2 linked regions of the Cricetulus griseus genome follow. The protein of the gene in region 1 interacts with the protein of each later gene in a biochemical or structural test. Links are inferred from orthologs where the notes say so. Each region holds a gene or a part of one and is shown in the gene's direction. Other genes may lie near its edges.

Region 1 (3,824 bases):
AGTCCTGATAAAGGATTTGAATTTCATTCAATTTGATGGTGTGATAGTAATATAACCATAGCATGAAGTATTATGAGCGTTACCACTGATTTTATAGAATAAACTGGAAGATGTTGGCAATCAAGTAAATACAAATTTGTAAAAATATGTAGGTAACTGATTTAAAAAAAAGAATTCTCATTTGTGGGGTTTTTTTTGAGTCATGGTTTCTCTGTGTAGGCCAGGCTGTCTTGGAACTCACAGAGATCCCCCTGCCTCTGCCTCCTGAGTGCTGAGACTAAAAGTGTAGGCCACCACTACCCAGCCTAAAAAAAATTCTTTAATTCATCATCACAATAACTTGAATTAAAATCAGAGCTCTGTTGTCTAATAGTTATATGACCTTTGGGAAGTTCTTAACCATGTGACATCTTAGTTGTCTCATCTATTTAAGGAAGATGGTGGTGGTACTCATCTCATTACAGGTTAAATGTATTATGTGTGTGTGTGTATATATATATATATATATATATATATATATATAATATATATACACATATAATATATATGTATAGTGTTCAGAAAACTTCATGTACATAGTAAGTGCTCCCATATGTGTGGTCTATCATTCTTGCACAATACTACATAAATTGATGTGATGACTTTTAAAATTAACATGAGGTAGTATTTTTCCATTTTATTTTAACATCTTTATTATATTTAACAAATAATGTTGATTGTAATGAACTATGGTATTTTTCATTGAACATTTGCTGTATCATCAAATTAAACTAACATTAAATAGTTGTAAAGAAGTGACAGAAGAGTCTGAATTACTCAGAACTAAAACAAAAATTAGAATGCTGTGTTGCATTGTATACAGGAAAATGCTCAAATAACAAAACCATGTTTTCATCCCAGAAGTTCATTCTAAAATCTGAATGAAATTTTATTCTCCACAGATGGTTGGTAAGGGGTTTTTCCTAGTGCAGACAAAGGAAATGTCAATGAAAGCGGAAGATGCTCAACGGGTTTTCCGAGAAAAGGCATCTGACTATTTTCTTCTCCTGAACAAAGGTATTTTCTGGATGACTGGGGTACTTTTGTGGTTATTTCTTGATTGACTCTCTTCTTCTATCTTGCCTTATCTTCCTCTTTTGTTTTGTTTCTTTCCCAATACCCAAGAAGCCCTGTATAACTCACTTTTTTTCTGTTTGTGTTGTTAGTACACATTTCTGTATTATTTTAGTTTTCATTTTATTACTATTTTGCCTCTGTACTGTTGCAGTACAATTGTTTGGCTGTACTGAAAAAGAAGTAAGAAATATAAAGTCACTATTTCTGTTTTCATATAATTAACTTCTCATGAAAAATTATAATTTTCCCTAGTAAGTGAATACCACCAGTAAGTTTCAGATATTGAAGTAATATGCATGAGAGAGGAACTAGAATCCCTGTGCCCTGCTGAAGGGCTGCTGCTTGCCTGTATTTTCCTATGGGCATACTGACTCTGGAGACCAAAGTACTCTCTGTTGGGAGTAGGGACATTGTTTGCTCAAGGCTCTAAGCTGGTACGACTAGCAATATGGAATGCTAATTAGGTTTACCTACAGACCGGGCACATCTGTATGTGTGTTCTTTTTGTATAAATAAATTATAATGAACTCCAAAATTGTGCATGAAAAAAGCATTGGAGGACTGTTAGGATAATTTTAATCAGTAATGCTTTGTGTAATTGAGCTATTAAGTGTTAGCACAATATTTCATATCCTTTTCTTAGTTATTGTAGTAGTGGCAAGGACTTAATCCAGTGCTTGAGTCTACCTCAGAAAATGTTTTGATATAGGAACTTTCAAATGAAATCTTGGAAATTAGGTTAACTCTCATCAACTTTCAGGAATGGAACTGAGCAATTAGTCTAGTGGATTCCTAAAGTGTAAGGGTTAGTGCTGAGGTCAGTAATATGAATCAAGGGTTTATGTATTTGTATAATACTAGTAAAGAAGTCTTACAGAATTGCTTCAACCAATCTGTCTTTAAATAATACAACGTGAAATTCACATGGAAGTAGTAAAATGTTTTGTTGCTGGAAAAAGTAGAACTAAAACCAGTGAGCAAATGTTATGGGAATTTCAGGAAATAAATGCCATACAAACAAGTCTTAAAAAAACAGAGATGCTAGGGCTAGAGAGATGGCTCAGTGGTTAAGAGTATTGACTGCTGTTCCATAGGACCCAGGTTCGATTCCCAGCACTGAGATGGCAGCTCACAGCTGTATGTAATTCCAGTTCCAGAGGATCTGATACCTTCACACCAATGCACTTAAAATTAATTAAAAAACAAAACTAGAGATGCCTACAGAAAGTACTCAAAGACTGAAGAGGTTATGTCAGGTCAAAAGAATCAGCTTGAAGGAGTTTGCATTGGCAAAATTTGGGGACAGTTTGGATCAAAAAAAGAATAAGGGGGCTGGGGTAAGAGTGGCAAGAGTGCTTGCCTAGTATGTTTGAGGACCTGGATTCCATTTCTAGCACCAAAAGAAAGAAATAAATCCCACAAAGAATAATGCAGGTAATTTAACAACTGTTAATGCATCTGTCGAAAACGAGAAGCCTGAGCAAGGTAGTGCACACCTGTAATCCCTGTACTTGGGAGGCAGAGGCAAGAGGAGTTCAGGAGTTCAAGGCCATGCTAAGCTACATAATGAGTTCAGGACCAGTTTGGGCTGCTTGAGACCATTTCACAAAAGAGGGATGGGCAGTGGTGGCACATGCCTTTAATCCCAGCACTCAGGAGGCAGAGACATTTGGATCTCTGTGAGTTCGAGGCCAGCCTGGTCTCCAGAGCAAGTTCCAGTACAGCCAAGACTACATAGTGAAACCCTGTCTCAAGAAACAAACAAAAACACCAAAGAGGGGAGGTGAGCATTATAATTACAGGCTGCCTCTCTTGCCTTCTGCCTCCTTCCTTTCCTGTCTTTGTTCTTTTATGTTTTAAATGTGGAAAAGGGGAAATATTTCCATCTGTGTGATAACTGAACCAAGATAGGAAAAAAAAGTTAGATGACACCACAAGGAAACAATGAACCAAGTCCAAAATGCAAGACATTTTAGAAGATAACTAGCTAGGTTTCCTCAGATGAGGGAACTCTTTTAGATTAAAATAATCTAAAGAGATGAGATAATTAATACAATGTGAGAACCTTGATTAGATATGGGATTGATGTGAATTGGGCTATAAAGGTAGTTTTGAAACTAGGAGTGTGAAGGTATCTATAGGCATTTAATTTTCTTAGATATGGAAATAGTATTGTGGTTAGGTAGGATATGCTTGCTAAGTATCATGGTGTCAGCAAAACAAAGATGAAGCATATGTGTGCACACAATGTATAGTAAGTATGTAGGGGCCAGCAAGATGACTCAGTTAGTAAAAGCACTTGCTATCAAGCTTGATGACCTTGCCTTCAGCACATGGATCCCACATGGAAGAAGGAGAGAACTTAGTCCCACAAGCTCCCCTCTGACTTCTATAAGTGTGCCATAGCATGTGTGCCCACACATATCCACATCTACAAAACTAAGTAAATATACAAACAAAAAATTGTTTTTAAAAAAACTATGTGGCTAAATTTGGGCTCTGAGTGACTATAGCTAAAGGTAAGATGGATATTTATGCTGTTCTTTCAGTGTTTCTATAATGTATTTAAAAAAAAAAAAACGTGGAGGCTCAGCAGTTAAGAGCACTCACTGGCTGCTCCTCCAGAGTACCCAAGTTCTAGTCTCAGTGGTGGCTGACAACTGGCTTTAATTCCAGCTCCTGTGGATCTGATGCCCTCTTCTGGCCTC
Region 2 (3,824 bases), on another chromosome or scaffold:
TTGTTTTTTGTTTTTTTTTTTTTTTTTTTTTTGGTTTTTCGAGACAGGGTTTCCCTGTGGCTTTGGAGGCTGTCCTGGAACTAGCTCTTGTAGACCAGGCTGATCTCGAACTCACAGAGATCCACCTGCCTCTGCCTCTAAGTGCTGGGATTAAAGGCGTGCGCCACCACCGCCCAGTGATGAAAGTTTTTTTTAACTTAACCAAATTTAATATATAAGATATGAGCAAATGGGATCTGGAGAGATGTCTCATAGGTTAAGAGTGATGTCTGCTCTTCCAGAGGACCTGGGTTCAATTCCCAGCAACCACATGGTGGCTCACAGCCATCTATAGTGGGATCGATGCCCTCTACTGGCATACAGGCAGAAAAAAATATCTATCTATATATACATATATAGATATAGATATAGATAGATATATAGATATAGATATGCAAATAGGACTTTGCCATACCCCAAATCTGGGATTTTTCGCAGACCTTGTAGAAAGGTACTCACAAACACTACACTACTTTTTTACTCACAAAAACTTTCTTTTTTTCTCTTTTTTGTGAATATCTTTTCTTTTTTTATTCTTTAATTACTACTCATATTTACATATCCTCCCCCTTCTTTTTTTTCTTTTAACTTCTTTTTTTTTTTTTTTTAATTTATTTATTACGTAGAGTGTTCTGCATGCATGTACGCCTGCACTCCAGGAGAGGGCACCAGATCTCATAACAGATGGTTGTGAGCCACCTTGTGGGTTGCTGGGAATTGAACTCAAGACCTCTGGAAGAAGAGACAGTGATCTTAACCTCTGAGCCATCTCTCCAGCCCTACAATTAGCTTTTCTATTTACATTTTTCAATACTTAACTGACCAAGAGTAACTTTGGCAAATTCAGAAGAATAAGAAGAAACATTCAAGCCAAAACTAAGCTACTCATTTTCAAGCCAGGAAGCAAGGTCAACTTTGAACACAAGCATGGCTTCAACAGTAGGGTACATGTTAACATGGCTAGATATATACATACATACATACATACATACATACATACATACATACATACATACATGGTTTGTATACATAGTCTGGACCATTGAGGCCAGAGTGAGGGGATCACCAGGAGCAGCAGGGGGAAGGGAGTCCCTAGAGAGGCATGTTTGGATCTTAGTGCAGAAATTTTGGCCTGTTTCCAAAGGCAGAAGTTCCCATGTTTTTGTTCATTTTTCTTGGAAAGTGGGCTGAGGAGTCTCTAGACTCCTGGAGACAGCACAGCTTCCTTCCATGCCCCAATGATTTTCTGGGTCATCACTGCAGTGAGCCGGTGCTGTACCTGAGCTTGGGGCAGGGGTGCCCTGGGAGTTAGCTGCCTCTTGAGCTCTCTACTTCCTTTTTGTCTTTTTGTCTTTGTTTCTGGAGACAGGGTCTTGTATCCTTGGCTGTCCTGGAACTCACTCTGGAGACCAGGCTGACCTCAAACTCACAGAGATCCATCTTCCTCTGCCTCCTAAGGCTGGGATCACAGGTGTATGCCACCATGCCCAAAGCTTTCCAGTTTTTGTTTTTGTCTTTTTGAATGCTGGATGTTTAAAGCAGCTAAAATGTAAGCTTAGAGGGAGACAGTCAGAGTCTGTCCATTAGGTACTCGTATCTACTCACTTAAAATTACTGGAGATAGCCGGGCATTGGTGGCGCAGGCCTTTAATCCCAGCACTCGGGAGGCAGGGGCAGGCAGATCTCTGTGAGTTTGAGACCAGCCTGGTCTACAAGAGCTAGTTCCAGGACAGCCTCCAAAGCCACAGAGAAACCCTGTCTCGGAAAAAAAAAAAAAAAAAAATTCCTGGAGATGGGGAGAGTTGGTGGCGCAGGCCTTTAATCCCAGAACTCGGGAGGCAGAGGCAGGCAGATCTCTGTGAGTTCCAGGTTAGGCTTCAAAGCAATATGGAGAAACCCTGTCTTGAAAAAAGAAAGAAAGAAAGAAAGAAAGAAAGAAAGAAAGAAAGAAAGAAAGAAAGAAAGGAAGGAAGGAAGGAAGGAAGGAAGAAATTCCGAGAGACAGAATTAGCATACAGTTTAGAGTTCTGCCTGTGGCCTGGGGGACCAGTAAAGTCATGGTCCCTTCTGGTTCTTTCAGGATGTGAGTTTGATGAATGTGGATGCATGGGTCATTTGGAGATTGAGACTAATAGACACAATTATCTCTAGCTGTCATTTCATTTCTACGCATACATGCATGTGCACACATGCACTAAGTTATTTGTGGGGGTGTGGTCTAGCCCAGTGAGTGTCACTTGCTTAGCATGTATAATGTCCTTGGTTCAACCCCCAGCACCTGAGGAACAATGAAAAAGATATTCTCGAGGGATAAGCTTGGATAAGTCTGAAATTGCTAGCCACCGTCTATATCTTCCTTAAATAGTGGTTCTCAGGGAGTTTCTCAGTGTGGCCTGAGTCACTTAGAACAGAGCCACCTGGGGAGCCTGTTACTAGTGCTTCCTCGATGCTGACTCTGACTTTCTGTAGCTGTCAGCATCCCTAATTTGAGCCCAGAAACTGCCTAGGGAATCTTACAGAGGTGCAGCCCGCAGGTCTCTGCCTTGAAAGCTGCTGATGATCAACTTAACTACATAATGGGTTGTAATTCCAAAAGCGTGCTTAAATGTCACAGTTCTCAATCTTCTCTCGTCTTTCCTTCCCCCAAAAATGGTCCAGGAACTAACGGAACTGCTGGAGGAAGAAAAGCTGAGTTGTGTGCCCGTGCTCATCTTTGCTAACAAGCAGGACCTGCTCACAGCAGCCCCTGCCTCTGAGATTGCCGAAGGGCTCAACCTGCACACCATCCGGGACCGAGTCTGGCAGATCCAGTCCTGCTCAGCTCTCACAGGCGAGGGTGTCCAGGTGAGGCCTTGGCAAGGGTCTGTTCTCGGTCAACGTGGCAACTCACTAAGGCAGTGTGCCTCACTGGTAGGGTTGAACTAGACCAATGGTTCTCAATCTTTGGGTCCCTTTCAAAGGGGTTACCCAAGACCATCAGAAAGAAAAAGAACAAAAACAAAAAAAACAGATATTTACATTATGATTCATAACAGTAGCAAAATTATAGCTATGAAGTAGCAACAAATTATTTTACAGTTGGGGGTCACCACAGCTTGAGGAACTGTATCAAAGGGTCGCAGCATTAGGAAGGGTGAGAACCACTAATCTAGAAGCAAATGGCCTTTGATTGGCAGATGAAGGACTGTAGAAGGTGAAGGGCACAGAAGGAGGTTGATTCTTTACTGCTTAGAAACCAACCAGATCCCATGAATGTTCCAAGGAAGGAATAGCCCAGCCCCTTCAGCACACTCCGCTCACTTGGAGGAGGGCTCAAGAGGTGACTTGGAGATTGTTCTAACTGTGGAATTGTTTGACGATTGTGTTGGCGTTCTATGTTAGGTCTAATATTATGGATGCTAAAAGCCTGTACTCCCAAGGTGATTGTCATCGCCACCATACAAATGCTAGTTAGCCTCGAAATACCTGTTTCTTCTCTTAGTTCTCTCCCTGCCCTTGAGCTTGGTGTCTGTTCCCAGCTACTGGTATTGATTTCCCACTGGGAGGCTTTATGCTGAGGAACTGACTGAACATCCCTTTGTTTAATATTAATTTGGGACAGAACACAGCCCTGTCCCAGGCATCCAAGAGGCTTTATTCTCAAAAGAAGCCACACACTTCCTGAGAACTGAGGTGCTTCCTACCAAGCTTCCTCAGCTCAGGGACACTCCGTAGTCAGTCAGCCCTTCCAGATGACCCAGAATCCTCCACATTCCTCATTTGAAGCATCCAGTGTATCTGCCAGG

The links.
Region 2: the proteins of Rp2 (region 1) and Arl3 form a complex in vitro, tested with the Homo sapiens proteins (2 studies listed by BioGRID). The link is inferred for Cricetulus griseus from reciprocal best matches to the Homo sapiens genes RP2 and ARL3.

What each region holds. Positions count from the first base shown.
Region 1 is NC_048604.1:125,173,041-125,176,864, forward strand, and holds part of Rp2 (protein XRP2), read left to right. Parts: intron 1-941; coding exon 942-1,056; intron 1,057-3,824. UniProt on the Homo sapiens protein: Acts as a GTPase-activating protein (GAP) involved in trafficking between the Golgi and the ciliary membrane.
Region 2 is NC_048596.1:15,033,650-15,037,473, forward strand, and holds part of Arl3 (ADP-ribosylation factor-like protein 3), read left to right. Parts: intron 1-2,697; coding exon 2,698-2,883; intron 2,884-3,824. UniProt on the Homo sapiens protein: Small GTP-binding protein which cycles between an inactive GDP-bound and an active GTP-bound form, and the rate of cycling is regulated by guanine nucleotide exchange factors (GEF) and GTPase-activating proteins (GAP).